Linked DNA regions of Oreochromis niloticus. The protein of the gene in region 2 interacts with the protein of the main gene of each other region in a pairwise test. Links are inferred from orthologs where the notes say so. Each region holds a gene or a part of one and is shown on either strand. Other genes may lie near its edges.

Region 1 (7,046 bases), on a different chromosome or scaffold from region 2:
AGCAGTGACGTGGGCGACCTCGCCAATGAACACGGGGGACAGGAACTCTGTCTTCTCCACCCGAACCAGAGCTGCCAAGCAGCGGTCCTATACAAGACAAACAGCAGACTCAAAACGTATACACACAAAATCACAACATTTGACTGCAATGGCAGGAATCTGGAAATTGCTCTGCTGGAAGATCAGAGGGAAATTCTGGTTTTAAATCCTGAGTCGCTGAGTTGATTCCCCCAGTTACATGACTGTACACTGAGAGATAAAAATAATACCACTGAGCACGGTTGTATAGTCCAAATGAGGTTAATGATGTGTACAACTACAGATGTCACTGTCTGTGAGGCACTGTTGCCTTGCAGCAAGAAGGTCCTAGATTCAAATCCAGGCTGGGATTGTGTGTTCTCCCCAGTGTCTGCATGGATTCACTCTGGGTGCTCTGGCTTCCTCCCAGAAAGACATGCACAGGGTTTAGATTAATTAGAGATTTTAAACTGGTTTTAGGTGTGAATGTGAATGGTTGTCTGTCTCTTTATGTCAGCCCCGTGAATGGCAGGCTATGTCCTACCCCAGCACAATGAATAAGTGGAAGAAAATAAAGAAAATAAATGGATGGATGGATGGATGGATGGATGGAAACTTCACTAATTTGATGAATGAATATGTTTTTAATGCTGGTATAACTGCAAGTTAGACAGAAATAACTCCCTTTTGACATTTTTTTATTTTCTTTATTGTGTTTTTAATGACTTTTTCACATTTTTTCACATTTTAAAACTTGAGTTCTAAAAGTAATGGTTATCATTTCTTAGTTTCTTGCATTAGTTTCTGTCAATTTACACTTATAGTACAGAAAATTTCAACATTGTTATTCACAACATATTTTAGTCTCTTAATTCAGGTGCTAAAAAAGAAACAGTACTGCAGTAATGTATATTATTTTGGGATTGCTCTGTTCTGAGGGACTATTGGAGAGAAATACACAACGCTCTACAGTACATTTTCCAATGTGAAATACCCCTTGAGAGTAAGACTATGTTTTTTGGACACGTACCTCAGGAATGGCCGAAAAGCGATAAACATTTAGTAAATATTTTGCTGGTGGCCTGTAAAAAGGGTATTACCAGAAAATGGCTATCATCGGAGAGCCCAACTATAAATCTATGGATGGACATCACAATGGACATTTATAAAATGGAAAAGATAACAGCTTTTGTTAATCATAAATTGGATAAATTTACATTATATTGGGAAAAATGGGTCAAATATGTCACGCCTCATAGGCCAGATTTTACTTTCACAAACCAGTAGTTATGAAGTATGAGAGTATGTAAGAGTAAGATCACTCCCTATCAGTACATATTTATTTTTATTTTTTTTCCTCTTCTTTTTTTTTTTTTATTTTTTATTTTTTTTTCTCTGTCTGTTTCTTTCAATTATTGTTATGGTTGTAAGTTTTTTTTTTGTTTGTTTGTTTGTTTGCTTGTTTTGTTTTTTTTTCTTTTTCTTTTTTCTTCTTATAAACAGGATATGAACTAAAATATTATTTCGGCAATAAGGGCAGACAACAGATGCAAGAAGTATCCCCATGTGATGTATATGTTATGAAGGTCTGTTTCTAAATGTCTATTGAAAAATAAAAAATTATAAAAAAAAAAAAAAAAAAAAAAAAAAAAAGTAATGTATATTATATATTGACACCTCTCTGCCACTAAAAATGAACATTAGCGGAACTTATTGAGAACTTCCTTGAGTTCAGTTATCCAACAGTACAATAACACAGTCCAGAATGACAGTGGCTGTTGTCTCTTACCCCGTTCTGTGTGTTGCAGTGCCGCGTGCTGACAATGCATCCAGCTTCCTCTATCATCCTGAGGATGTTGCCACCGTGGACGTTGCCCACAATGTTGGCATCATCTGGTCGCATAATCCTGCAATAATAAATGAATGCATTACTATGATTCAATTCAATTGTATTTACACAGCGCCCAATCCCAACAACAGGCGCCTCAAGGCTCTTTATATGACCCATGACTGTAGGTCTGATGACACATTCAAATGTGTCATTATCTTTTTATTACATACCACCAACTGTATTATAAGCTTCCTGAATAGTGTTATCAAGCAGTCCACACAGTATGTTTTCCTTCTTGTTTTTCAGTTTAAGTCACCTTAAGGTTAAGTACCTATTAACCACTAGTTTTCTGAAACTTTGTCCAAAAAAACGCAAAGACAAAAATGAGAAACTTTTTTTTTAAATGCCAGAAAGTCACTCATGTGCTGCATGTTTGCACATAACAAGCTGATAATGCAGCTCTCCATGTCTCCACACTGCATCACTACTTCAAGACAGTATCATTATCGCTGACAGTGCATGACGTGGCTCCACTTCTTCAGTGTACGGATAAACGAGTCGTACCAGTTATACCTGGTGTAATCACTTTACGCACTGTTAATCCAAAATGTACAAATGTCAAACCACAATAATGCAGTGCACCACTGCACTGACTAATTCTGTGACACACATGGTTAAGGGTTTGATTTTGTGTGTGTGTGTGTGTGTGTGTGTGTGTGTGTGTGTGTGTGTGTGTGTGTGTAGAACAAAAAGCGAGATAATAACTTCCCATAAAACTCAAAAATTCTCAGTTTTCTATTTACTAGATTTCACAAAACTCCTCACCATATGTAGGAAATGACTAAGAACCAATACAAAATGACTGAAACAGACTGTGTGTTTGTGTGTGTGTGTGTGTGTGTGTGTGTGTGTGTGTGTACGCATAAGCAACCAAGTACCTGCTAAGCTGATTTTTGGGACACTTCCAAGCTCCAGTCTTCTCACCCTCCCTGACATCTTTGCTTACTTGCTTACTTTGACTATGTTGCTGTTTCTCCACCACTGCAGTCGTCTTATCGACTTCATCTGAAGCCTGACTCTGCTGAGCCCTAGAGCAATCCATCGCTAAACACGGTCTGGCTCTCAGTCTTCCTCTCTCACCTACTTCCCCTGTGTATGAGCTCTAAGATCCCAGCTTTGGAGATTTTGAGATCTGACGTTGATGGTCTGAGTGATGTCATGGAGTATTACCGCTCACACCACATTAACTGGTCAAACTGGATCTCAGCAGTTGATACAAAGACAGACAGGAGTTATCTAATAAAATATGTCATCATCACACTGAGGTTTGAGTCATGCAGCTGACAGAGTTTGACAGTGACAAATCTGCCAAGATGTCCTGAGACACATGTGAAGCACCAGATGGATGAAACTTGTCTCAGATGCTTAATTCATGAGAATGTTTCTCCACTTTTCTATAGTAAAGACTAAATTTAGAAATTTAGGAAACAAACTGAAGATACCTGGCCAAGATTACAACCACCCCAGTACCAACTAATACAGTTTAATATGTTCAACAGAATAGCAGGCTTAAAAAAGTAAAATAAAGAAAGGCGAGTCCACGAACCTTTCAAATCACACTTACGCACCTCCAAATCAGGATGTAGTTGATTAATCACTTGTTTACTCATGTAAATCAACCAACATATCTATAATACACAGATTATATACACAGGTGAGTAAACATTAAAACTGACGTTGTTTCTGGTTAGAAGCAGCACCACTGGACTAACCATACAAACAATATATAGATGACAACTAAATGAAAATGCAAAATATTGCTGTTAATGGGTGCCTAAGACAAAATCTTCTGCCTGTTGAAACAAACTCTTATTTATTTATTTCATTTTACCTGCATCGAGAACAATGATAGCTGAAATGCCGAATTAGCTTCACAAACTGGAGTCTCAGTGTCATTTCTCTCCCAGCCGTCCACAGAACAAGATCACAGCACATGTGTGAAAGTGATTTTGCATCCAAGTGTTTAACTGCAAGCATACTTACATTACCACGTAAGACAGGCATTTGCCAAACACACTCACACCTCCATCCACACATACATATCGCTGTATGTATAAACAGTAAGGGCCATATTGTCAAAGGATGTTGTCTTACCACTCGGTGTTCTCCTATTCCGTAGTCCCAAAATAAATTGTTTATATTTTTTAGCTTTTCACAAAGCTGCTGTAAGAAGCTTCTAGAGAGGAACAAGCTAAACTCTGAGCAAACAGTTGGAAAAAATATACCTTCCTAGTGTTTTGCAGAAAAGCAATGTGAAGTTCTTAATAGTGCCAAAATGAAAACAGACCAATAGTCAAAACATATTGGATATGCGGCCAAATGCAAGTCAACAATATAAAGAGCATATTGCTTCCAAATGCACTCTAAAACTAATCATGAGGGCGCTTGGATGGATCCTGTTTAGCTTCTTATTGCAGCGAAGAAATCACAAGGAGCGCATCTTTGATAAAAAGTCAGTAAAGCTGACTTAAAGAAGAACAAGATGACTAACTTCCTGTAAATGCACACACACCCACTTTTAACTGTTCAATGACGGTAAAGATCATTGTGCAAAGACAGAATATCCAATGGATCAGTCAGGGTAACTCCTCAGGAACCTAAATGACTAACAAAAAGAGCCGTCCTCTGGACTATACTGGGTGTTTACAGTCATAGTGTTGTGGTAAAGTGGCAAAGTGGACATGTTATTAAAAAAATTTTATGCAGTACACATTTTCCTTATGAATTGAACTTTAGCTCTGGAAATATTTATTCAGTCATTTTACACTCCATTGATTAAAATAGGCACCTTTTCTGAAAAGCTTTTATGGCAGAGGGCCATGCTGGGACGTTCACATAATAAACTTGCACTTCCTGGCCTTGCTCCCTGTCATTTGTGCACAATGTTCACGAACCTGTTGACATCAACTCTGTAAGAATTTGTTTTTGAGCACATAGAGGTGTTTGCCAGTGCAGCAACAAGAGGAAGGAGAGAAGAGAGCAGAATGAGTATACCACGAGGATTTTGGGTTTAAGCTGGGCTCTCAGTGACTTTTCCACACACACGGCCCAAAAGGTGACGTTCTGGTGATTGAATAGTTTGTTTTTGTGCTTTTGTAAAGGACTGAAACACTTTCAGCACTTATATGTTGAAAATATGCACTCATACTGAATTATGTGATTTATCTAGAAGCTGGTGCACTGAAGCATGATGAAGATGATGTATTCGATAAGTGAGTGCACCTTTTATACAGTGAATCATCCAGTCAGTCTGTGACGACCTGTGGTTGGTGGGATTCTTTTCTTTGCTCTTTGCTTTTAGAAATTGCATGGTTTTCATGTTAGTTTAGCAAGGCTAAATCTGTTTTGGGCTTGTGGTAGCATAATTGAAGTAGATAGTGTGAGTTTATAGCATAAGCTTAAATAAATATGTTCACTGGCCCAACCTGTGACTGCCGCCTTTGTTTTCTGTGATCATTAAAGATATTCCCATAATCTTTGATGATCACTGTATTATTATCACTGTAAACATTACATTTTTTATGTTTACAGAAAAGAAGTTCATATCCAATAGAACTACTAGCTTCTTACTGCAACATCCCAGTAAGTGGAAACTTACTCCTACATGGCCAGTCACGTTTCAGTCACCTAAAGGTTTCAACACATCACTCATGCAAAGCCAGAAATACTTGATATCCTCCACGGGGGGGGGGGTGGATCAGACCCAATGTTTACAGAAACTTTTGAAGTTATGACTCACTATTACTAATACTGGCTGGCTTCCGGGACTCTTCCGAAGACCTTGGTAAACTTCTCAGAAACTGAACACTGAGCAGTGAAAAATGAGAAAAGAGATTATAAAACTTAGATAAACGTAAAAAGAAAAATGAACATGGCCCTATAATTGTCATAGTGACTTATATAAGTATAATATGTTGCTGTTTTAGAATAATTTAAATCTTTTTTTGATTGTGCGTTATTGGTGTTTTTGTCGTCTGTTCTTCTGTTTTTACTTGAGAGAATGTTTTATTTTCCTTTTTTTTCTTTTCTTTAAATGTAGGCATATATTTCTAACAGAACAGGGGTGTGCAAGAGAAGTTTGGCTCCATCTACGGGCGAGCGCAAGTACTACCACATATTCTCTGGAAAATTACGCGCCGTTGAAAGGTATTTTAATAGCTCGCAGTCGTGCCCTTATTATCACAGATGGCTGTTTGCTTTCTGGGCTCTACATCTGTTCATCATCTGAGGAAATAAATAAAGGGGCAAAGTGCGGACTGATTAAACTAATGTCCAGACAAATTGAGTCACGCGATAAACTTTCACGCGATAAAGTATTTTCTTTTCTTGGAGTTTGGGTTAAATGGTTCCGACTGTAGTGGCCTTCGTCCTTGGCCGTGTTTCGCCTGTCCTGACGGAGCTAACCGCGCTGAGGTCATCACTTGCGAAACGCGGCAGAGATGGTCCGCACCTCTGACGAAGCTCGCACACTAAACATCCTGAAAAAAACGGCGTCTCGTGTTTTATACAACAGCACACGACAAACATCTTGAACCAGCGGCTGAACTCGGGCGATGGCGTCTGCGCAAAAATATAAAAAGAAGCAGAAGCAGATTATCTGGGTTATCGTCCTGTCAGCAGCTCTCACGCAACTACGCCGGTAGCCGCGTTGTTCTCGTCATTTGGCGACCAGCAGCACGTTATTAGCATGTGTGTGAAGGTAGCACTCGTGTAAATGTGTCTTATTAAACGTCCTACCTGCATATCTGAAGTGGGGATGCTGCCTCGCCCGTCTGCGGTGCCGACATGGTTCTGATGCTGATGAGCTCTCGGAGGCTGTCGGTCTCGTGTTGCAGTGAGATTCGTGTGTGATGTGAAGGGAAATCACTCTCCCGGCGTCCGCCGGCTGCTGTGGTCACAGTGTCTTTGCGAAATGGCTCGATGAGAGGAAATGTGCAGAGCTCATAGAAATTACCTGCTAAATGTTTTGCAAAATCTGTTCTTTCAAATTGCCCTAAAATAATAAACTATTATATTATCGATATAATGAGCTAGAGAAGATCCTTTGCATTCCATAGCTTCCTAAATAGGTAAATGAGAAAGGCATGTTTGAGAAACAGAAACCTCAGCTATTTCAATACCTATAATCAGCCAGAGG
Region 2 (7,316 bases):
TGTAACAAGCAACAAAAAGAAGAAAAGAGGAGGTGGACAGCGTCTCTGACCCCAATGTGAGGTACTTTTTTGCTTCAGATTGAAAATATAAACATTTGCTGATCTGCTGAGCGCTCAGTTTTATTTACATGCTGCAGATGTTTCAATGTTAATCCGCCAACAGCTGGAGGCTCCAAGCACTGCTGCCCTGTATGACATCACAAGCAAAACCATATAATGGTTAAGATGGATTCAACCAGGTGGCCTGCACTATCAGAGTGACTTACGATCAGAGCAACATCTTTATTATAATTTATTAGCTTTTTTTGGTTCGTTGTTGTAACACTAACAGGTTTTGTCTGGGAGTGGTAGCCACAGCCTTCCTGCAGCTGTCCATCTGAAACTCACAGCCCACCAGTGAAAGGAGCAAGTGTTGAATTGTCTGTGGAAAAGTTTATTTTGTTTGTATTCGGGCCATTGAAAGAAAAAAAATGAAAGGCCCTAGTTGTGTGATGTAAAATTCAGGAAAAAAAAGTTTTAAACTTAAAGTTGTAAATTTTGAACTTCATGAAAAAATATGACAAATTTACAATAAAAACATCATTAACACATAATACGTGTTTTTAGAAAACAGCACTTATTTTCAATCAGATAACAAATTATGAGCTTATTTTCATTAGAACGAGTCCTGCAGTAAAACACAGGCCACTACATGCAGCTGGCTGTGAGGTGTGTGCAACGCGTGATTTAAAAAAAACAACAAAAAAAACAACGTACATATTCAATATTAACTTTGCTCGCATGAAATTAGCTTTCTTATAAGATGTGATTTTTTTTTTTTTTTTTTTTTTTTCTCTCTTAACTAAAAAAAAATCAGCTTTTTTCTGGCCCACGTTTGGCCCTCTGGTTGCTCAGTTCTGGCATTTGGCAATCACCACATATGGCCCAGAGGTCATCAACACAGCTGGCAGCTGGCACATGTATGGTGGACCTGGGCAGCCACTGAGTCACAGGCAGATGTGGGCCACACATCTGGGTTATATTTTGCATATTTGAACCGGCAGATGTTTTGCTACTTTAGCCTTAAAAAATACAAAAATGTGCTCATTTCCTGTTGTTTTAGTCACAGCTCTGCCTGCAAGTCCAACAAAAAGCCAGTAAGCAGTTCTTGAGTTCAGCTTGATGAAATTTGTGGCAGCAGATCAGCTGGTGAAGCTAAAACCAGAGCGAAAGCTTTCCTGGATGTGGAGCACAGAAGCTGCTTTCCTTCCTGCAAAAGGGAAGAGCCGCTTAGTGGGCGGGGCTTCCACATCACATCACTGAGTGTAATCGTTGCATTCTGACTGCGTGTGATCTTTCAGAAGCCGACTGCATCTCCCAGAAGACACTGCTGTGAGTCTTTAGTGAATTCTTGATGGCAGTGTTGTGAATATGCTAAAAACTCTGATTTCACGACCCCGGAGGATTCTGGGTATTGGAGTATTTAGAGACATTCAGTAACCGACAGCACTCTGACTTTCTGTTGCACTTTCCTTCTTTTTCTTTCACTCTTTTTTGCTGAGGTTGAGTTTCATTGTTTGACGATCTTTTCTAAGTGTGAAGGCCTCGCAGACCGATTGATTTTTTTTTTCTTGTACAGCAGCTTTTTAATCTGTTGCTTTATTTTTGAAAAAATATTTACATATTTTGATAGTTTTGTCCGTCTGTTCTCTCCAGCCGTCTCTATGTTTCTGTTATTACACCGTCAGCTAAATACCTTTGAATGTTGAATGACACAAGATTTTCGAAAGATTTTCCTGCAAGTTCACTTTGCTGACATAATAATACGTTGTTGCTATCCTTATACTTACTTCCTGGTACACTTGCAGTATAGTGGTTGTCCATAATAAATCACAGAGAAAACCAAATTATTTGTCAGTAACTGCATTAAAAATGCCTGTATCAGTTGTGCAGGTCATGGTAGTCTTGAGTGCTTAAAAATAAAGTAGTTGACAGTACTTGTCTTAGACAGGTGCCACCTTTTGGCCTCAGTGACGGTAATGACACACGCCATTTCTCATAATTTGAACTGGAAAAGCCTCCTGGATGAAAAATGAAAAGTCTAAAGAAACCTAAAGAAGTCCCCGTTGCCCTTTTTTTAACCACTCAAGTCTGCATTAAAAAAGCTCCAATTAGCCAAGGTGATGGTTGCGCAGTTGTTATGAAGGTTGAAAAAACTTGACAGAGTGAAACGGTTTTCTTGTATCAGGCTGCAAAACATGTTTATTTCTGCTGTAAAATTGGACATTTAACATGAGAGTCTGGGGGAGACTGACTTGCTTTTGGATCCTCAAGTGGACATTAGAGGAACTGCAGTTTTGGTATTTAAGCACTGGCTTCCTGGAGTTACCAGGGGTCATCACTTGGTGTGTCATCATGAATGTTTAAGTTGGCACTCTGTTTTTGTTAGATTACCAGTGTTTAAAAGGCCCAAATATATGAGCTCATTGTGGTTTAAGAAGTCAATGAGGTTGTTCTTATGCTACTTTCTGGTACATCTGGAATTCTTTGATAAATCTCACATACATCCTCTGATGCAGAAATCAATTGGGCTTATCATCATGTTTGTGTGCAAAACTGCCAATTATCAGTTTGGCAGAACTTACTGCATTTAAATCAGAAGTATTATGCGATATTCAGTGGCAGCTGTTTAAAACCAAACAAATGACCAAGACTGGTTGTGATGACATGTTGCCCGTACCTCGCGGTGGTCACTTGTTGGTGTTTATTTACTATTTTAAGACTGCTACACTCAACTTTATGGTAGCTTTTTGCCATACAATTCAACACTAAGTAATTAGTAAAATGTGCTTAGTCATAGTCATCAAACAGGCTTTTGGCGTCACCTTATGATGGTAGGGGTGCATTAAAAAAGTTGTGTAAAATACTTTTTTCCCCTTTCTTTTCTTACAATTTCTCTTAGAGCTGACAGTTGAAAAGTCGTGACCTTTAATTTTTAGTTTCCTTGTTTAAAGAAGGCTTGTTTGGGCTTTTTGACAGATAGCACATGGTCCTTGTCCAGGATTTTAACCCGTCATCCAACAGCTACTGGATCACTCCGGTGACCTGTTGATATGATTGTGCATTGTTTAAAGAAACGTGATGACTGTGGCAGTGAATTTCATACAACTGACAGGAAGTATGGACAGAACTATCAAAATAAGAGTCTAACTGTGTAAAATAAAGTAAAATTTGTGTGATTTTTGCCCATGTTTGATCTGAGATTGTGGACATTTCTCCATCAGTAAATTTTGTTTGCAAAAATCAAATGATCCCACCTGGTTCCTTTTTTTTGGTGGGGGTTTCCTGTACATAGAAATGTGGGTGAATTATCCCAAAACTATTTTGTATTTTTCTATTTATTTCTTCCTTTGTAAAGTCTTCTAATAGGCCACAGGCATGTGCTAAAACAAAAATGGACAAATGATGAGAAATTTCTCTTTCCATCCTTCTTCTTAAATCCTCGCTTCTCCTGTTTGTAAAGGTGCATTCACGTGCAGTCGTAATAATAGGAAAAAACACATCATGTTTCTGAACCTCAGCAGCCTCTGTCAAAGTTGGTGAGAAACTCTGAATGTTTTTAAGTTGAGTTTCCAGCTGCTAAAGTTGAACCCACAGACTGTTTGAGAGCCTTGTGACTCTTTTTTTCTTTCAAGATAAGGACACAGTATGATATACAGTGTAGTGATAATACACACACATTATAGGTACTTATCAGTGCTGTGTATTTACCTGTTTTCTGTGTATTCCTGGTCTTTTGTTGCTGTATAAAGCTCTTTAGACCAACCCACGGTGTTGAAAACACCTGTTTTAATAATAAAGTTTCTTCTTTTTTGACTAAGAGATTATGTGTTGAAAGTCTTTATTTATCTAACACATTATGCATGAATCTACAGGGCTGAGCTATGAAATAAAACATTACGTCTTATGGTAATTTCTGGAATAATAAATGAAAGAGGACAAATGCATTATCCTGTATTTGTGAAATTCTTTTGTTACAGCAGTTAAAATAATAATGAAAAATTATAATACAAAATTGATATTTAATTTGGTAAAATGTATTTAAATTGTGCTTTTCTAATGTTTTATAGTCCTTCACATTTACTCTATACTCAACAGAAAATAATTGAGATTAGCACTTTGTGTCAGCTTTTATTTCAAAATGTGTTAGTTAAATAAAATAGACTTGATTTGATTGAAATTTTACATTTGGTATTTAAATTAAGGCTCGTAAAAAAAAAAATAACAGACTGGACTTCCTGAGATATTACAAGAAAGTAACGACAGAAAGCTCCACCAATTAGAGGCGGGGATGCCGGTCAGGTGACTAATTCTTCGCCGCCATCATTGTTAGTGGCAGTGAAGCTTGTGTGGAGGGTGACAAGAAGCACAAGCGGAGCTTCGTGGAGTTCTGGTCCGGCTGTGAGTGAGTGTTGTCCGGATATTCAGCCATGGTTCAGACGTGCTCAGCGTACGGCTGTAAGAACCGCTACCACAAAGACAAAGACATTTCATTCCACAAGTAAGTTAAGTGCCAGTGTGTCTGTGTGTGTGTCAGCGAGCTGGGTAGCATTAGCAGTCCTGACATGGTGGTTGAGCAACGTCCACCAGCCTGCGTTCACTAATCTGCCTCATTAAAGATTAACTGCTCTTCCTCAACAGTACGAAACATGTGGAGTAGGACACGGGACATTTTACGTGTTTCCAGGTTTCACTGCTAAAATCCGGCTACATAAAAGTAAACAGATGCTATTTTTATTTGATTAAATCAAATGTTTTGATCAAGTCTAAAGTCACAAGTTTCTCTATAGTGGCTATACCGAGGCACACAAATTTAGATATTACTAAAACTTTACAGCTGTTTCGCTTTTTAACAAGCCGAATCTATCAGCACGGAACACATTTACTTATAAAGTCTTGGAGTTACATTCTTAAATATGTTTGCCTTTCCGTAAATAAGGGGACAGTAAATTCCTCCAAATTTAACTGGAGTTTGGATTAATGTGTTTATGCTTACTGGCGGGAGTTGATGCGCATTTCTTTAGTCCCCAACTTTAGTCTCAAAACAAGTAACACAAAGGGTTAACGCTCCAGGTTTTTTTGTTTTGTTTGTTTTAGTTTTATTTTTTACCAAAGACATAAAGTTTACTTCATAAGCAACTTAAACTAATTAATTACATTAAAACTGATAACAGAAAATAATTCCCAAATCATACAGAACCGTTATGACATTTACTTCTGTGTATTATTATCACTTGTTTACCAGGTTTCCTCTGGCGCGTCCAGATATCTGCTGTAAATGGGTGGCTGCGATGAGGAGAAACAACTTCAAGCCAACAAAGTACAGCAACATCTGCTCCCAGCACTTCACCGAAGACTCCTTCAAGAGGGAGTGCAACAACCGTGTGCTGAAGGAGAGCGCTGTGCCGTCGCTGTTCACCTTCAACCTCAGCATCAAGGTGACCTGACTAAGGCAGGGCTTTTTTTTTCCAGGAGTCTCCCAAGAGTTTCCAGTCACGTTTTCTTTATTTCAAAATAAGAGCACAGATCTGAGAGACAGCTCAAATTAAGCAGATAGGTTAACTAAGCTAGATAAGTAGATCAGGTTAACTTCAGCTTCAGTCAGTTAGCGACTAGTTAACTCGTGTTTTTCTCTCTAGCAGTCAGAGTCCCTGGAGGATCCCTTCCCCTCTGAGAACCTCTTCCCGCTTTCTCTGCCTCTGACCTCTGAACCAGCGGAGGAGGAGGAGCCTGAGAGTAACCCGCTCGACACCTGCAGCGACACGATGACAACGACCACAACGACGACGGCGGTCTCCTGCGACCACAACTACACGGTAGAGGACTCTGCGCAGCAGAAGAGGCGCATTGAGCTGCTGGAGGAGCAGGTGGAACATCTGAGGAAGAAGCTGAAGACGACGCAGCAGAAGTGTCGGCGGCAGGAGAGGCAGCTCAAGAGGCTGAAGGCCGCCCGGGAGGCATCACCCAGGATGCCCCGTCAGTCGGCGCCGGAGCCGGGCTTCAGTGAGGGATACGTGATTTTGCCGAAACACATCTACCACAGTTTGAAAGGCATCGAGTGAGGCGGAGTGGAGAAGTTTCATCTGCTGCTGAGCTGAAGGACGCAAATATTCACATATCTTTCTATTTTTCGTTTTGTTTTCTAGAGCTCGGGCTGCACTTAAATGACTTCTTAAAGCTTTCGGTTTGGTTTCAAGAGCCAACAGCTCTTCATACTTGACGCACACAGACTGATGGTTCTTGTCACTGTGAGGAAAACAAAGCACAGTTATGCCCCCTCTCCCAAAAAAATAAAAAAAGAAAACTGTTGAACTATTCCTTTAAAGAGAACTGTTCTTCCTGCTTTTTATGTTCTGTCACATATACGAGGTGTTACCACATAAGCTGAGGTGTGATCGTCATCTCTGGATTTTCTTGACTGATTTCGTTGTGCCCTGCCGGAGCAAACAACAGCTTCTGTTTTACACTGAGCTGAATTTCTCTAGGAGGATCATCCCAGTGAGGAGAGCTGGGTCTGCAGCCACAACTGAGCAGTTTTCATCTGAAGAGCCCACGGTGTCGAAGCTCAAAGGTGAGAGCCGAGGCCGTTATGAACCATGATGTTCGGAGGCATCTGAGGTAGATCGTTAGAAGAATCGATCTGAGCCTTTAGGCTTTGAGTTTTGCAAATTAAAGAGAAAAAAAGCTGGTAAACCTGAGAAGAAATAACAAATTTATAAGAGTAAGAAATGGTAAATTTATGAGAAAAAATTGACAAATTCATCAGGAAAATAAACACTTTTTTTCTACTCTTTGATTTGTATGGTGTCATAGATGATATCCTGCTATGGTCATGTTGGGCACAGAAGCCAATACCCAGCTAATCAGAAAGAAAGACTGCTCAAACTCAGAGAGGCTAAAACGCCTCGTTTCAGACAGGATGAACTGAAAACCCGGTATCAAAAAAAGAGAGATTATTTTGAACTGTGACTCATGCAAAGCTGCTCTGAGAGTTTATGAATTAAAAACACGATGCTGGAAATGTGCAGGATAGATCCCCATTAAACAGTCTGCTGTTTAATATGGAAATAAAATTTGACAGTATGAAATGAACTCACTTAAGCTTCTCTGTTTTGTTTTCAGAGTTTTGTTTTTTACTTAAAGGCTGATTAAAGTACATTTGCTGCAAAAGCTTTACATTTTTCAGTGTTTTCTTGAGATGCAAAAACACTGCTTGTTACTGTTGATTTGCAATAAACTGAAGCCATACGAGCAGCTTCTTTGGCTCTTTGTGCTTC
Region 3 (7,844 bases), on a different chromosome or scaffold from region 2:
TGACAAGTTAGCTTTGTTCATCCTACATGAGGCAACGTAATGTGTCACTGCAGTACCTCTGCCTCTGCTTCTGTTTCCAGTAAAAACTAATCAGTGATTAACGGCTTAATTAATCATTCTTTGTCATTTGTCAAAGGCAAGAAAATTCTGTGAAGCTCCCAACTTTTGCGCAATAACTAGAGCTGAAGTAAAACACCGTGAACTATAACATTGTTTTGTAATTTGTCATATTATAATGATGATTCAGGCAGCTGCTAAAGAAGGCTGCCAGCTAGACAGCACGACCTGCCCGCCACAGCGAGCAATACACAACAACTGTACACAACATCAATATTTATTGATGTTGTGTACAGAATTATTACCTCCTGGATGTCTACTTTTTGGCACCCAGTCCCCAACCGGTTGTGGCAGATGGCTGCCCCTCCTTTAGTCATGAGGCTTCTTCCTGTTAAAAGGAAGTTTTTCCTTCTCCCTGTTGCCAAGTGCTTGCTCACACAGGTCGTCTGATTGTTGGGGTTTGCTCTCTAATATTGTAGAGTCTTTACCTTACAATCTAAAGCCCCTTGAGCTGACTGTTCTTTGATTTTGTGCTATATAAATGCAACTGTATAGATGTGAATTGAAATTAATTGATGTTTTAAGAAAGTGAAAACAGACTTCATTTCACTTCTTCTTTCTGTCTAGGGGAAACAGTGGCATCAGCACCTCGCTCTATCCAAAAGCTACCGCTCACACAAACAGGGAACTGATGGTACCGCAGGCTCCTCAGCAACTACTTAGTCTTCAAAAATCTAGGAACTATGGCAACCTAGTGTTTGGATACTGCTAACAACAGCTAAAGACAAAAGGGGAACATGAACATGACCATGCATGTGGACTACAAAGTCACTGCTGACAATAACTTCAGTGCACATCCAAATGACACACAGGCAGTCGTCTCAGATTGTCTGGAGGCAGCTTCAGATAATTATTATTTTATCAGCCTCATCCTCTCCAGCCTCTACACCATATTCCTGTTTCCTGTCGGTCTCGTTGGGAATATCCTTATTATAGTGGTCAACCTTAACCATAGGGGCCGCATGACACCTCCAGATCGCTACTTTGTGAATTTGGCCATGGCCGACCTCTTTCTGGTAGCTGACTCTCTGATTGAAGTGTTCAATCTTAAGAAGGGCTACTACGACAAGGCTGGCCTCTGTACTTTCATGAACCTCTTCCAACAGGCCAACATGTACAGCAGCGTCTTCTTTCTGACCTGGATGAGCCTCGACCGCTTCGTCGCACTGACCAACTCCATCGGTCGCAGCATACCACGCGCACGCCTCAGCTGCTGCCTCATCTGGACGTCTTCGTCCCTGCTCACCTTGCTGCCTTTCGCTGTAGCTCAAGTGCAACACGCCGGAGAGCTCCATTTCTGCTTCGCCAACGTGACTCAGATTCAGTGGCTGGAGGTGATGCTGGGATTCTTGCTGCCCTTCTGCATCCTGGGTGTGTGCTACTGGAGGATAGCACGGGTGCTCAAGTGCAGCCACTGGGAGCTAAACAGCCCCCTGCAGAGGCCTCGCAGGCAGAAAGCCCTGCGACTCATCTCAGCTGCTGTGGTCGTCTTCTTCCTCTGCTGGTTGCCAGAGAACATGTTTACAAGTGTGCACCTCGTGAGGGGCGACACGAACGGGGGCACGCTGTGGCAGGATTACCCCTTGACGGGCCACGCCGTCAGGCTGGCGGCTTTCTCCAACAGCTGCCTGAATCCTCTCATCTACGGCTTTCTCGGGGAGGCCTTTAGGAAAAAGCTGAGGCTTTTTCTCCAGGATAAAAGCCGATGGTCCAAGCTGAACAGGACCCCCTCGAGAAAGCCCATAAACGAACCAGCAGCAAAGGATGACAGTACGAGCAACTCATCACATTCAAACTGTGACATCCCCTTGCCAACTGATGCACCCACCTTGAATAAACTGTATATACATGTTCTCACCAATCACACATGAAAAACACACATGCTGTGGGGTAAAGGCGCTATTCAGTGCTAAATATCAAAGCAAGGATCCTAACTTCTGTACAGATCTGACTGTTTTTTATGTAAAATTGAGACACATCAGTGTTATTTAAATGAATGATGCTAGCATAAAAGTCTCTCTGGACTGAATGACAGCATGTCACTGTGCCAAAAAATTTTAATTTATTAACTGTCAATTCATTAGCTGTGTTATTACATGTTTGCCACGCTGCTCTATGCTTTACCATGATTATGTCACAAAAAAAGATTTTTTTCACAGTAAAACACTGTAAACTAGCTGACTACCTACAAAGAGCCAAATAAAATCTTTAAGTCACATTTTCGGCAGTGAACATTCTCACCTCTGCTTGCTCTGCGGCTTGGTTCACTTGTTCCTTTTTACTCTTCTTGTTCTTTTTCCGTTTTTTATCATCTGTTGTGTTTGTTAACTGAGACATCTGAGCAGGAGCCTCCTGGTTTAAAGGCAAAGTGTTAATGATACTGTGACTGATTTCAGGTAGTGCTGTAAAATACCATTTTCTGTGCTACTCACATCTGCATCCATCTTTTTCCTCTTCGTATTTACTTCAGTGTCCATTATTTCTGTACTGTCATCTGATGGACCCAGATTCTTCCTCTTATAAGGTTTTGATTTCAACGATTTGTCCTTAGCCATGAGATAAATTACTCCTGCAAACCAACACGAGCATGTATATAACTGAAGACCAGCACACACGTTTACTGAATGAAGTACACGGACAGACAAGGCTTAAGGTCAAAAGAAACAAATTATCAATTTTATGACATAACAACAAGCAGCAGTATTAAGGGTTAAACACTACTTTGACCACGTTGTTTTTACAAAAAACCTTAAACCAACCTGAGTTGCGTTGCGTGCCAGACTCTGGAAAGCACACATGCGCGTGGAAAGTCAACCAGGAAGCGGTGCCGCTCAAGTGAAGCCTGATTGGACGATTAGCTACCCGTGTTTTGTGATTGGTCGGTGGGTGTAACACTTTTAAAAACTCGAAGAACAAACTACTGAAAGAAAACTCAAAATATTAAATGAAGTGGGAACCCGAAGACTATTTAAAATTAATAAATTATAAATAAATACATAAACAAAAGCCATAATAAAACAAACAAATTAATTAACCAATAAAAAAGGAAAAAAAATATTATAAATAAGGCAATACGCTGTACCTCAAAAATACTTAAAAAAAATAAAAATAAAATGCAGACTGGTGGTACGGTGTAAAATCAAAGTACTTTTACTTTCAAGCGTAAATATGCCATTATCTTTAGGTATAGTCATACTACTACTAATAATAATAACAGAATAATAAATTATTCTGTGGGTTAGAGACAGCCGGTCATAACCAGCGTCTCTCGCTGGTTCTGGCCGGAGAGAATTAAGGGTTGCACAATGGTGTGTTACATGACCTGACTGAAAAGGTTTTGCTCGGCAAAGCTTCAGTTTCGTAGTGTTGAGTAAGATGACCGGTTGTCCATCATGTCTACAGCAGCAGTCTTTGCCCGTCTGACACGAGTGGCTTTGAGTCGAGGAACATTTATTCATAGCGGTGCAGCTACCGTGAGGTGAGTGTGTGTATGTGTGTCCCCGGCTCATGGAAAGCATGTATTCAATGTGTAAGGGTTGTTCAATGACAGTGTAGTATCTTTAATTGTTGGTCAGATTCTTAAGTGGTTTATTAAGAAAAAAAAGAAAGCTGACCCAGCGGCGTTGGTTAGATGTTACCACATTTACAGTTATAGAAAATGAAACATTACAGGGTTTTTTTCTTTTCTTATTTTTTCCTAGAAGACACACCTTGGTCCTTTGACTTTAATCTAGTTACTAGGCTTTGGATGGATATCAGGAGTTTTCTTTTTATGAGGACGTATGACAGTGAGTAAAGTACAGTCACCGTCCGTGTGTTGCCGTTGTGTCAGAGGTTAGATTTATCATTTTCAATAGAGCAGCTTCAGGAATTGTCTCTAGGTGGCATCATCACTGTGTTTTGAGCAACAATTTACAGATGGACACACAGTTATTTAAAGGCTAATTCAAAGGTAAAGTGTTTTATACATAAACTCATTTTTTGCTTTGGAATAATTCAGAAATTTTATTTTCTAGTGCTTTATTTTTTTATGTAAGGAGCTATCTACCACTGGAACTTATGATCATCTGTATGGTTGATCTTGAACATCAGTTTCTATAAAACATCTATTGCATATTATGTGCGTCTATGGTTTTTTGACCACTGGAAATGGATCATAAATCCAGTGTATAAGTGAAAATGATGATTGCATTAATGTTTTTAGTGGCCATTAAGGACTATAATCTCCAGCTGTGGATGCTTCTTAAAAACAAAACAACAGTTTTAAAAAAGTTTCATAAATGTTTCATAAATATATTTCACTTCTACTCTTAAGCGAAAGTCCACAAGTATTAATATCCAAGTAAATATTGTAGTATACTATCTAAGATGAAGTAGCATTTAAGTGCACTAAGTGTACTTTCAAACCACTAAGTCTTTCAGCCTAAACTAATTTATCTTCTCCTGTTTTTCGTGCTGGAAGACTCCACAGTGTGCGGTCTCTAGCGCTGAGCTCTCAGCTGTCGGGCAAGTCCAAACAATCTGCTGATGATGAGGAGGTGAAGAGCGAGCCCATTAAGTTCTCAACCAGCAAAGCCAGCCACAGGACCTGGAGAGTTGACCGCTCGATGGGGAGCCAGTACGAGCGTCCTCTGTGGAAAGTTGTGCCCATCAGCCTGCTTGCCACCGCCTTCCTGTTGTGGTGCGCTTTCAGGGATGAGACAGACATTGATGCAGCTCTGGAGAAGCAGCTGTACGAGCATGTACCCAGCGTGCTTTCAAATGAAGAGGATACAGCTAAAAAATAAAGGTGCTTATCGGAATATGTGGACATGTCGTATCAGGTTGTATTTATTGTGAATTGTACTGTGTTGACCTGGAACACAAAGTTAATGCTCTGTGTGGAAATAAGGCCGTCCATTGATACATGAATGTCACAAATATTCCAATAACTACAGGTTAGTTCAAACCTGGTCTGGTCTACTCTACAGCTGTTGCAGGCTTTTCTATTTCACATTTCTCTGCAGACTGTATCCAGTTTCAAAATACTGTTCACTTTGGGGTTTTACTTGTGATGCTTGATGTAGGTTATTACATCATGCTGTACATCATGAGTTTAAGAGCTAACGTTAATTGGGACATGCTCCTTTTTTTTAAGCAGTTTTTGGCAGTAATGGATTACAATGTCAATAAACTTGACCAACAAGCATCTGCCAGTCTGTTCTGAATCACTGTTTCAAAGTGCACATGATCACTTGATGAACATCCAACTTGTTAGAACAAAGTTATAGTGCAAAGAAGCCCTTGCATTGATCCAATGGGTCTCCCGACTTTGTATTTGTACCCAAGGTTGTCTGCAGCAAACTCAAGTCAGGGTGAGGTAGCGGAAAGTTTATTTACAGCACAATGAGAAATCCTATGACATGCACACACAGGATTAAAAAGATACAGACCCTAAAATACATTTGCAGACCTGAGGAAGGAAGTGAGATATTCTGCTTTAGAATTTACAGATATGAAGCACTACTCTACAGTGAACAGGACAGCTGAAGGAAGAGTGTGTGAAATGAAGTACAAAATCATGCCTGAAACTACAAATGACATAAGGTGGCACACATGCTGGTAAATAGTTCAAGATTTACAAAACAAACCCCAGTCAGTCCCCCACCCACCCCCAACCCAATAAAAAGATAAAAATCCAGAAGCATTTATGCTCGCTCTCCTCTAATTCGCCTGGCCAGCTGAATGTCCTTGGGCATGATGGTGACCCTCTTTGCGTGAATGGCGCACAGGTTGGTGTCCTCAAACAGGCCGACCAAGTAGGCCTCGCTGGCTTCCTATAGGGAAGAGAAAAGAAAACATTACATACTAGAACAAATTAACAAGAACATGTTATTCATATTTTAAAACAGATGCATTTTCTGACCTGGAGAGCACCAATGGCTGCGCTCTGGAAACGCAGATCCGTCTTGAAGTCTTGAGCGATTTCCCTGACCAGACGCTGGAAAGGCAGCTTCCTGATGAGCAGCTCAGTGGACTTCTGGTACCGACGGATCTCACGCAGAGCAACAGTACCGGGCCTATGAAGCAAGCCATATTCTGAATTAGTGCCCAGAAACAAAAACACTGTAACAACTACACAGTTTCAGAAAACAAGAGTAAAGTTAGTTTCCACAGCCAGTGTAACCAGTTATGCCTATACAAACAATACAGGGGCATGATTGTTGTACCTGTATCTGTGGGGTTTCTTCACTCCACCAGTAGAGGGCGCGCTTTTCCTGGCTGCTTTGGTGGCCAGCTGCTTCCTAGGCGCCTTTCCTCCTGTGGATTTACGAGCGGTCTGCTTTGTACGAGCCATTTCTCACTTATAAGTCTGAAAAATAAATAAAAGTGGACGTTAAAACAAACTGAATTTTAAAAAAAAAACTTCACAAAAACTCGTAATTTACGTTAACCACCCACTGAACGAGAGCCTATTCCCTTTATGCGGCTCTACCTATGACACATGACTCACGTCGTTTTAAAAAAAAATAGGTGGCGAAACAACCGTCCTACCTTTTACTTCTGTTTACAGTAAAAAGAAAACACTACCATAAAGGGCGCCAACCCCTCATTCATCGGTGATACCATTATCAAGGACGACAAGTTACAACAGTTACCACTTTTATGGTTTTATTCAAATATCATACACAAACCTCTAAGCACCGCCACCATTAAGCTACAGGAGACACACACGTTTCTTTGCTTGTCTGTCGAGCATTTTTAAAGCTAGCATGGACGGTTGCAAAATGGCGCCAGCTAGTTACCGCGAAGATTTACACTAAAATTAACCAATTAATATCACCAAAAACAACACGGCACTCAGTCGTATAAGTGAACATTAACATTAGTTTATAATTATGTAGTCATACCCTAAGAGCAGTCAAATCGGCTCAATTTAAGCCATCAGCTAGCTCTTAGCTACAGAGCGCGCCGTTTTGTTGTCAGTTTTTCAAAGCTTCTCATTAACACCAAAACTCAAAAAGATAATATATCCAATTCACATACTGACGATTTTAAATAAAACCCATAAACAAACATAACAGCCATACCTTGGATCACTTTCGTTGTTCGGGGAAATTCAATGACTCCTCCTTGTTAGTCACTTCGCTATGTTGCCCTGAGGGCTGAGGAGGTGGTATTTATAGATTAAGCGGAGCAGCGCTCGAAGCCCGCCCCTGAACGTATCCAATTGGTCCAAACTGAAATCCCTAACGGAATATGATTAGTTCAGGAAAAAGGAGGCTCTCTGCCTCTGCGTGTGAAGTTAGAGCGGATCGTCAGATGTACCTTATTTTAAAAAGAAGCATGTCGTTATTTTGATTTTAATTATTCACCCGCAGCTTTTCTCTCTTATTCCACACAGTTATACATATAATTTTGTCTGTGTAATCTTAGAACCTGGGAATTCCTTTCTGAAAACATGGTGGTCACTGACCGCCCCCCTCTTTTAACTAATTAAGACAAGCGGGAACAATGCTGCCATACTTATGCTGTAGCCTGTACTATGTGAAAAGGCAAATGAAGTACACAGAAGACATTCTGAAAAAGCATATGTGCACCTCACAAATCGACATACACGCTCCATACATAAACCTCTTCATATATAAATGGGAAGCTTTAGTGTGATACATAATTCTGGAGCTGACAGAAACTCGATGGATGAAGCATTGTCCAACAGACCTAGGACACATTTCCTCGAACTCTGT
Region 4 (7,752 bases), on a different chromosome or scaffold from region 2:
GTAAATTTATACACACAAAAAAACCCAAAACAAAAGTATGTAAATTTTTATTAATTCAGTAATTTAGACCAACTTTGGGGGGGATAGTGGATAAAGCAAAACAAAATATAATCCAAGAATACCAGACTGATAAACCCGTTGGTGAGTTTAAGGGCTTATTCGAGTGCTTCACACATTTCAGAGTGGTTTACTATGATTACAACATTTTATAACCATGCTTAGTCAGGAATAGTCCTTCCAGCTCTTCATTTGAAAACTAAAAATATTACATCCATGGCAGATTACTGTGTCAACACAGATTTTAAATAAATGAATAATGGACAAATATTCCAGTGACACAGCTACAAATACAACATCTTTTCTGCTCTACAAGTTTTAAGCTATTGTCACAGTGCATTTAATATTTTCACTTAAGAAGAAAAAAAAAGCTACACTCACTGGTAGCCTGATGGGAAAAGGAGGTTGTTTATATTGCATAGAATCATTAATTTATCAGCATGTTTATCAAACAAACCTCTCAAGGCTGCATGGTTCTCTATACTTGTCCTGCTTAATACAACCATATTTGAAAGGGCACTGCATTAGAACACCTTAATAATGAGTTAAACTCCATTTTTCTCAAAACCCTGGCATTTAAAGTTTGTACGAAGAAATTTCTCTCCCAGCAGTGACTGAACATAATTAAGAAAACAACATTTTTAGTTGATGGATTAAAAAAAAGTCCTGGAATGATTGGTCAATCAATTAAGAGGTAGAAAATAAAATCAGCTTTAATATGTGTAGGCAGAGGCTTGACACTACTGTAGTCTGCAGTACCTTGATGTTGCAAGCCACGGCTTTTCCATCATCTCCTTTCAGCATCAGCTTCATGCTGCGCAGAGTGTCCATGGCTTTTGTGAAGCCACAGTATTCCTGATACTGGACATACCCTTCAAAGTTCAGATGGCCCCCAAAGCTGAATGTGCTGAAGTTCTTGCCCATCATTTCCTCCCTATATGGGTCCAGCATGGGAATGTCAACATTTCGTACCTTAAAAAAAAAACAAAAACAAAAAAATACTAATGTTTTAACTTTTTATATCGACATTTATTAGTTTCTTGTTTAGTTAGGCACTGCTTATGTCTATTTTTTTTTTTTTTTTAAATTGTGAACTAAAAATGTGAATATTAAAAGCTTAATTTCCTTTTAGCTACACAGAAACATGAATGTGAATCACCTTGCCGAATGTCTGGAAAACTGCAATGAGGACTTCTTCTGAGGGCCGATCTGGGTACTGGCTGTCCTTCTGACTGAACCAGCGGCAAGGAAGCCCTTCTAGGTGGATGGTGTCAGGCCTCTCACCTGGTAGTGTCTCATTCATGTCCTTGGCATCACGGAAAAAAGAATCCCAGTCGTGACGTGTCGGGAAGTCCACTTTATTTTCTACTGCACGAACCTAAAGGATGAGAGGGTGAAATAAATATACTCTGCTGTCGGTTTATTAGTGCAATTTAATTCAACCTGTAATCAATCTTTGGTAGATAATAATATAATACTTAGAACTAGCTGCCTTGCCTTTGGATAGTTGTTTATTTTCAAGGTAATTTCTTTGAACTGCCAAATTACAATGTATTGACAAAGAGTTACAAACAGTTTAAGTACATTTAAGTAGCAACAACAAACTCCAGTGACTCCAATAACCATGCAATTACTAATTATAAGTACTGCAATGCTCTAAATTTGTTCACCCTTACCTTCAGTACATCAGTAAAGCCACTGAGTTTGATGCTCTTCCCATCCAAACGACTTAGCAGGCTCTTGACTACAGTCTTGTTTTCCACTTCACCTTCAAAGCGGATGAAATCCATTGTGCTCTTGGAGATTCGCAAGACTGAAAACTGCTCCGGGGCCACCATGGCCTTCACCCGCTCCATTACCTCCCAGTTGGAGATGCTTTTGCCTGGCAGCTTGAGCTGGGGCAAAGCCACGCTGATGGTCATTTTGGCAATAGGCTTCAGGTACAGGTTGTACTCAGCAGAGAGGCACACTGCCTCTGTGGTATCATGTACAATGGTGGTCATTGCTGCAGAGAGACACCGAAGCTGCAGCAGGGGGAAGAAAATAAAGATTTAGTAGTTATTAAACTCTCTTAAAACACAGATAAAACATGAATAAGGAGCAAACTCAAAGTAATAAACTAAACTGCGCATGTGCTACGAGTAGTCCTCCAAAACCAATAATCAAACTGCAGCAAACATCGGCTCAAACACAGGCCTCATGCCAAACGATTAAAAACCATTCTCAACATTATAAAACCCATTATAATTAGCCTTCGCATTTGGCTTGTTATACAGTAGTGTGACAAGTCCTCGAAAATTACACAACAAATGCCATGTTAAAGCATAAAGCCCCTTGCGCCATCACAACTTCATACTGCTACCCAGCTAACCAGCTCCTGTGCATTAACGTTCAGTTAACAGAGAGCATATAGGGTGACACAACGACAACAGTTTGTAGGAATAATAATGAACGGTGTCAGGACTACGCTACATATTTCTGGGGAACGGTGTTCACTGGTTACACAAACGTTAGCAAACTCAATGTAACATTAGCTGAAAGCTAACGCTAAAGTCTTCGCTTCATCCCGAAGGACGACAGGCTAGAAAGCTATGAAATTGAGTAAACAGCGATCTGGTTAACGTGATTAATTTAACGCTATTAAACTGCAAACTGCGTATTATTATTTGTTTACTGATTATTTGTTAACGTTACGGTTTTTACGAGTTGGGTCCTAAAACGTCACCGCTTTAGACAACAACATGCTAACGTCAGCTAGCACAGAAGATAACAGACTAGCCACAACCTACCAAAATCACTTAGCCCCCCCGTAAAAACCGAAAATGCAAAACACAACAAACACACTGTTGTAATTTAAGGTGAGCCATACACTTGAGAGGCATACAGAAAATCGAGAATCCAACTACATGCTACTTCCGCACGCAATGAACTCCGACCTTCTAAAGAAACCTATACCAGCGCCCACAGCGACACCACATGGATGAATATGGCGGTGAGAAAAATGGAAAAAGATCTCTTAAGTTGAATTCAGTTTAATATCAATATTCATAGCAATTTTCTTCTTGGGCTGCCTGGTCGCCGGGACAGCGGATCATTTGTCGCCATTGCACACATTTCCTAGCATGTTCTTTTTTTTTCTTTTTTTTTTAATTAGCAAAATCAACATACAACAAAATGCACCATATATTATACAATCAGAAAATACAAATTTCAACCTTTGTACAAAGAAAAAGAAGATATAAAGACGGGGTCATAAAAGTTAACAGAGTATTAACTCACTAAATCAAAATCTTCCAAAAGGGAACCAAAAGATGCAGCCTTTTTCTTTTTAACTAAAGTCAAAGATTTAACCAACAGGTTTAGATCGTTTTTCCAGTGAAGTAGGGTTGGTTTGGTCGACATTTATGTATATATTGCTTGCACAAGATTAATAAAACATTAACACCATAACTGACTTTCCTTCAGAAACACTCCAAACAATATCACATTTAAGGTAAATGGGGTAATTTGAATCCCACTCGATTGAAGCCAGGCATGAAAATCCAACCAAAAGATTTGTATAAAACTGCACAAAAAAAAATAGATGGTCCAAATCCTACTCTTCTGTTTCACAAAATACACAATTAACAGTTTCTATCTTAAAACTATCACCAAGGAACCTATTTGTTGGGTACATTTTATTTAAAATTTTGAATTGGACTTCTTTCCCTTTAGGAGGGATAGGGAAGGTGATATAATTAGTTCTTATTCTTTCAATTTCTTCCTCTTGGAAATCTTTTAATATGTAATTACGTCTAAGTAAATTTGGAGAATAAAGACTCTTTAATGAAGATCTCAGGAACTTATTATTGTATTTAACATTACAAAACTGAATACCATCTATATATAATTGCCTTAACTTGAGGGAGATGTCAGAATATATTATATCACTTACGACTATGTTTTTAAGTGACAATGGAATGGATTTTATAACCCGATTAAAATTACTTTTAGAACACTGGATATTAAATTTTTGGCCAAAATCGTGATGTCCTGTCCTTCCTCATCTACAAAATGAGCAATTGCCCAAACACCTTTCGATAACCAATCTTGAATAAAAATAGATTTTCTATTCATCAGTATATATCTATTGTTCCAAATTTGGCAGTTATGTAGAGTGAAATTATGTTTAAATATAATTTTCCAATAAAGAAGGAGCTGTTTATGGAATTCAGAGAGTTTAACAGGTAGCTTAGTAATTTCAAAGTCACATTTTAGGAGAAAATCGATACCCCAGTTTGTTAAAGACCTTACTTGGTATAAGAAACCAAGCGGAGTGAGGATTATTTAATTTCAAAACACCATTCATTATATCAAAGTCAATTGGCCTAGCATGTTCTTCTGCTACAACAACCCTTTAATTACATCCAAGAATCTTCTGTCTGGTCTTCCTCTTCTCTTCCTGTATGAAGGAGTATTAGGGCCATGTTAAGAAAAAAATATGGTGTCGGTCATTTTGAGAATAAAGTCAAAATTTCGAGATCAAAGTAAAATAGAATTTTGAGAAAAAAATCAAAATGTGGAGATTACAATTTCAAGACAAACAGCTATAGTTCCTACACCCCCTGAGTTAGTGAATTGGTACTTCTACTCAAGGCTTTTCGTAGAAGGTATAGCAAACCTGGGAGTTTGTCTTCAAACAGCAACCATAATCTCCACCCTTTGGCTTTTGTCTCAAACTAGTATTTCAACTTTTTTCTCAAAATAAAATTTTTGACTTTATTCTCAAAATGATCAGCAATATTTTTTTCTTAATGAGGCCCTCCTGCCTGGGAGCTCCATGTTCAACATCTTTTGTCCAATATGTCCACTCTCCCTCCTCTGCACATGTCTAAGTCAGCCTTGCCTCTCTAACTTTGTGCTCAACCTGAGCGCTCCCTCTGACATGCTCATTTCTAATCCTCTCCATCTTCTCAACAAAAATCTTAACTTCTTCAGCTCTGGCACTTTCGCCTTGGCCTCCTATCTTTTTGTCACCATCTCCAAACTATGCATCATAACAGGTCTCAGTGCCATCTTGTTAAATCTTGCCTTTCATTCTTGCTTCGATCCTTTTATTACAAATCCCCCTGATAGTCACACCACCCACAACAGATACCCAGAACTGTCTGTTGCTTTAGATGGCTGACACCAGGTATTTAAACTTATCTACCATCAGTACCTCTCCTCCTTATATGTTCATGGGGTGCATGGCGGTCTGATGATTAGCACTGTCGGCTCACAGCAAGAAGGGTTTGAATCCAGTCTGGAGCCTTTCTGTGTGGAGTTTGCAGTTCTCACAGAGTATGCATGGTTTCTCTTTGAGTACTCAGCTTCCTTCCACTGAGACCTTTTCTGATGAGGCTTCAGGGAACAGTAGACGGGTCAGATGCATCTGTGAGGTCTTCACTTATGGTTTTTACCGGGCTTACAAATTACTTAAGACTTTTGGTGTAAATAACCAAGTTTTATAGATACATATATATTAGCAGTATTTAAAAAGAGAAAGAACACACACCCTGCTATATATTTCAGAACACACATAATTAATACATGATAGAAACTTTGGCAATAATTGTAATCGCCCTCAATTTCATTATTTATTAGTAAATCACTGATATAGTTTATGCAAAAAAATGTTGATCAGTATCAAAAAAGGGTTCAGGCTGGATTCACTGTACTTTTTTATATCTGCCACAAGACAAACAACACTCTGATGACAGTACAAATTTGTTACTCACTTGATGTCTATTTGGCACTGTTTGTGACTCATTAGGGTTTGTCTGAAAGCCATCATCACTGTGGTAACTGTGTGAGATAAAAATGGACCGGACTTGGATTGGTCCAACAGTGGAGGCCCCAGGCTAAAAAGTTGGCACAGTTTCCCTGAAAGGATGGCAGAGGAATTTGCATAATAGGCATTACTCCCTTCACTGTGCATGTAGGTCAGTTACTGCAGTCAAAAAGGCTCTCTATCCTGTCCCGATCAGCAGTTATTTAATAGACAGCCTGCCTAAGGCAAATCTGGATTCTACATAGCCAAAAAAAAAGCACATCACTTCTGACCACTATAAATCCTTATTTGACTTCTAGATCAGGGAAACCCCAGAGATTACAGAATCATCAAAGGAGCTGACTTGACAGCATTCAGTTTTATATAAGAAGCATATTGTGTGATACATTGTGACTGTTTACATGTAATCCAGCTTTTATATGGTTGGTTTGATCTGGGAAACACGAAGCAGAGAACAGACAGGGTGCCAGAAGGACATCAGAGCAACAAGAGGATTGCCAGATCTGTAGTAATCTGTTCAGGCTCAGGCACTGAGAAATGTATCGTAACCCCCACACACATATGAAAGCTTGTGGGCATTAAATTTCTCTGTACCCTATACTCTGTTTACTTTCTCTAACCAATGGCAAAAATAACATAACAGGGAAACACAAAACTGCTTGTCCTCTTAGGTTCTTTTAAGTATATTAAGATAAACAACATAAAATCTGATTTTAAAGTATTTGCAAAAATGGATTAAATAGAGTTTATATCCCAACAGCAGCAATGTTGACTTTTGGTCAGTCTGTATAACAAGAGGTGCAAAATAAGAACTGGATGTTAATCTGTCTGGTGGGCTATGTGGGCAGGAAGTTGTGGATATACTGTAAATGCCAGAGCAAAGCTGGGGTCGTCAGATCATCAATTATTCAGCATCAACAGGCAAGGACAATCAGCTGGTGTCAGCAGGAACAGCGGATGAAGCGACTCGCTTCAATTGTATTTTTAATCTATTCTGGTGACATTAACATGAGTATTCACAGCTGCTCTTTACATTTTAAACCTTCTCATTATTACCAAGGCCGTTTCTTTATACAATCTTTCTCTTGCATCAATGGGACAATACAGTGTAGTCGACAGACTTAAAAACTTTAGTTTATGTAAATAAAAACAAAACTTCTTTATTTCACATTTATGGATAAAGACATTAATCCAAAAACAAAAGTGGCTCGTTAACAGTGATTTCACACCACACAATCACTTCACAGCATTTTACAATGAAAACAGATTTTCTTTATACAGACATAAGAATCAACAGTGTGCTGCATTTCCATTTCCTCTACTCATGCCGCTGAGAAAATGACATAAAATTCTACATCAAAAGTGTCAAGACATACAATGACACGAATCCCCGTGATAAAAGTACAAATGCTACAAATTAGTAACAGAACATTCATGAAATTCGGGAGGAAGAAAGGTTCACATATTTGGGAAACCACTTGAGAAATCACTGCTAAACCTACGGCACATTCTGGCCAGAGTCCTTAGAGAAAACAGAGCTTGATGAATAGATGACAGCGTGCATGCAAGGTCAGACTAATATATGGGAACAATATTGACTTTGTCTCAGTTTCATATGATGTAGTTGTTTCCGGCGGATATCTGTGACTGTGGTTGCCTGAACCTTTACCCTTATGAACCAATGAATCCTGTGTCACATTTTTAGAGTAAATATAGAAATGAAATGTCAGATAACACAGTAAAACTCCGCAACTGACATTCAGAGAGCAATATCTAAATATCAGTGTCTGAACATTTGCATACACGCCACACACAAAGCAATGTAGAAACAAGTGAATTAGCTTCAGAAAATTTGAGGTACGTTATCGGCAGTAGAAAAATGT

What was found.
Region 1: the proteins of thap1 (region 2) and acot7 interact in binary tests that used the Homo sapiens proteins (3 or more experiments, as listed by UniProt). The two-hybrid records come from large-scale screens. The link is inferred for Oreochromis niloticus from reciprocal best matches to the Homo sapiens genes THAP1 and ACOT7.
Region 3: the proteins of thap1 (region 2) and chlsn interact in binary tests that used the Homo sapiens proteins (3 or more experiments, as listed by UniProt). The two-hybrid records come from large-scale screens. The link is inferred for Oreochromis niloticus from reciprocal best matches to the Homo sapiens genes THAP1 and CHLSN.
Region 4: the proteins of thap1 (region 2) and akap17a interact in binary tests that used the Homo sapiens proteins (3 or more experiments, as listed by UniProt). The two-hybrid records come from large-scale screens. The link is inferred for Oreochromis niloticus from reciprocal best matches to the Homo sapiens genes THAP1 and AKAP17A.

Annotation. Positions count from the first base shown.
Region 1 is NC_031984.2:24,092,016-24,099,061, forward strand, and holds the start of acot7 (cytosolic acyl coenzyme A thioester hydrolase), read right to left. Parts: upstream 3,022-7,046; 5' UTR 2,952-3,021; coding exon 2,788-2,951; intron 1,926-2,787; coding exon 1,808-1,925; intron 88-1,807; coding exon 1-87. UniProt on the Homo sapiens protein: Catalyzes the hydrolysis of acyl-CoAs into free fatty acids and coenzyme A (CoASH), regulating their respective intracellular levels.
Region 2 is NC_031972.2:34,363,528-34,370,843, forward strand, and holds thap1 (THAP domain-containing protein 1), read left to right. Parts: upstream 1-4,295; 5' UTR 4,296-4,469; coding exon 4,470-4,540; intron 4,541-5,284; coding exon 5,285-5,477; coding exon of another isoform or gene 5,478-5,491; intron 5,492-5,678; coding exon 5,679-6,097; intron 6,098-6,185; coding exon 6,186-6,207; 3' UTR 6,208-7,131; downstream 7,132-7,316. UniProt on the Homo sapiens protein: DNA-binding transcription regulator that regulates endothelial cell proliferation and G1/S cell-cycle progression.
Region 3 is NC_031973.2:19,321,863-19,329,706, reverse strand, and holds the start of chlsn (protein cholesin), read right to left. Parts: upstream 3,001-7,844; 5' UTR 2,877-3,000; intron 2,687-2,876; 5' UTR 2,673-2,686; coding exon 2,550-2,672; intron 2,470-2,549; coding exon 2,359-2,469; intron 2,352-2,358; exon of another isoform or gene 1,989-2,351; coding exon of another isoform or gene 855-1,988; exon of another isoform or gene 685-854; intron 1-684. Other genes in the region: uqcc4 (ubiquinol-cytochrome c reductase complex assembly factor 4), read left to right, coding at 3,510-3,595, 4,580-4,904; h3f3d (H3 histone, family 3D), read right to left, coding at 5,805-5,933, 6,023-6,176, 6,327-6,454; lg8h8orf33 (UPF0488 protein C8orf33 homolog), read left to right, coding at 7,798-7,844. UniProt on the Homo sapiens protein: Hormone secreted from the intestine in response to cholesterol, where it acts to inhibit cholesterol synthesis in the liver and VLDL secretion,leading to a reduction in circulating cholesterol levels. Acts through binding to its receptor, GPR146.
Region 4 is NC_031987.2:12,401,170-12,408,921, reverse strand, and holds the start of akap17a (A-kinase anchor protein 17A), read right to left. Parts: upstream 3,013-7,752; 5' UTR 2,847-3,012; intron 2,082-2,846; 5' UTR 2,061-2,081; coding exon 1,734-2,060; intron 1,594-1,733; coding exon 1,555-1,593; intron 1,436-1,554; coding exon 1,217-1,435; intron 1,030-1,216; coding exon 817-1,029; intron 1-816. UniProt on the Homo sapiens protein: Splice factor regulating alternative splice site selection for certain mRNA precursors. Mediates regulation of pre-mRNA splicing in a PKA-dependent manner.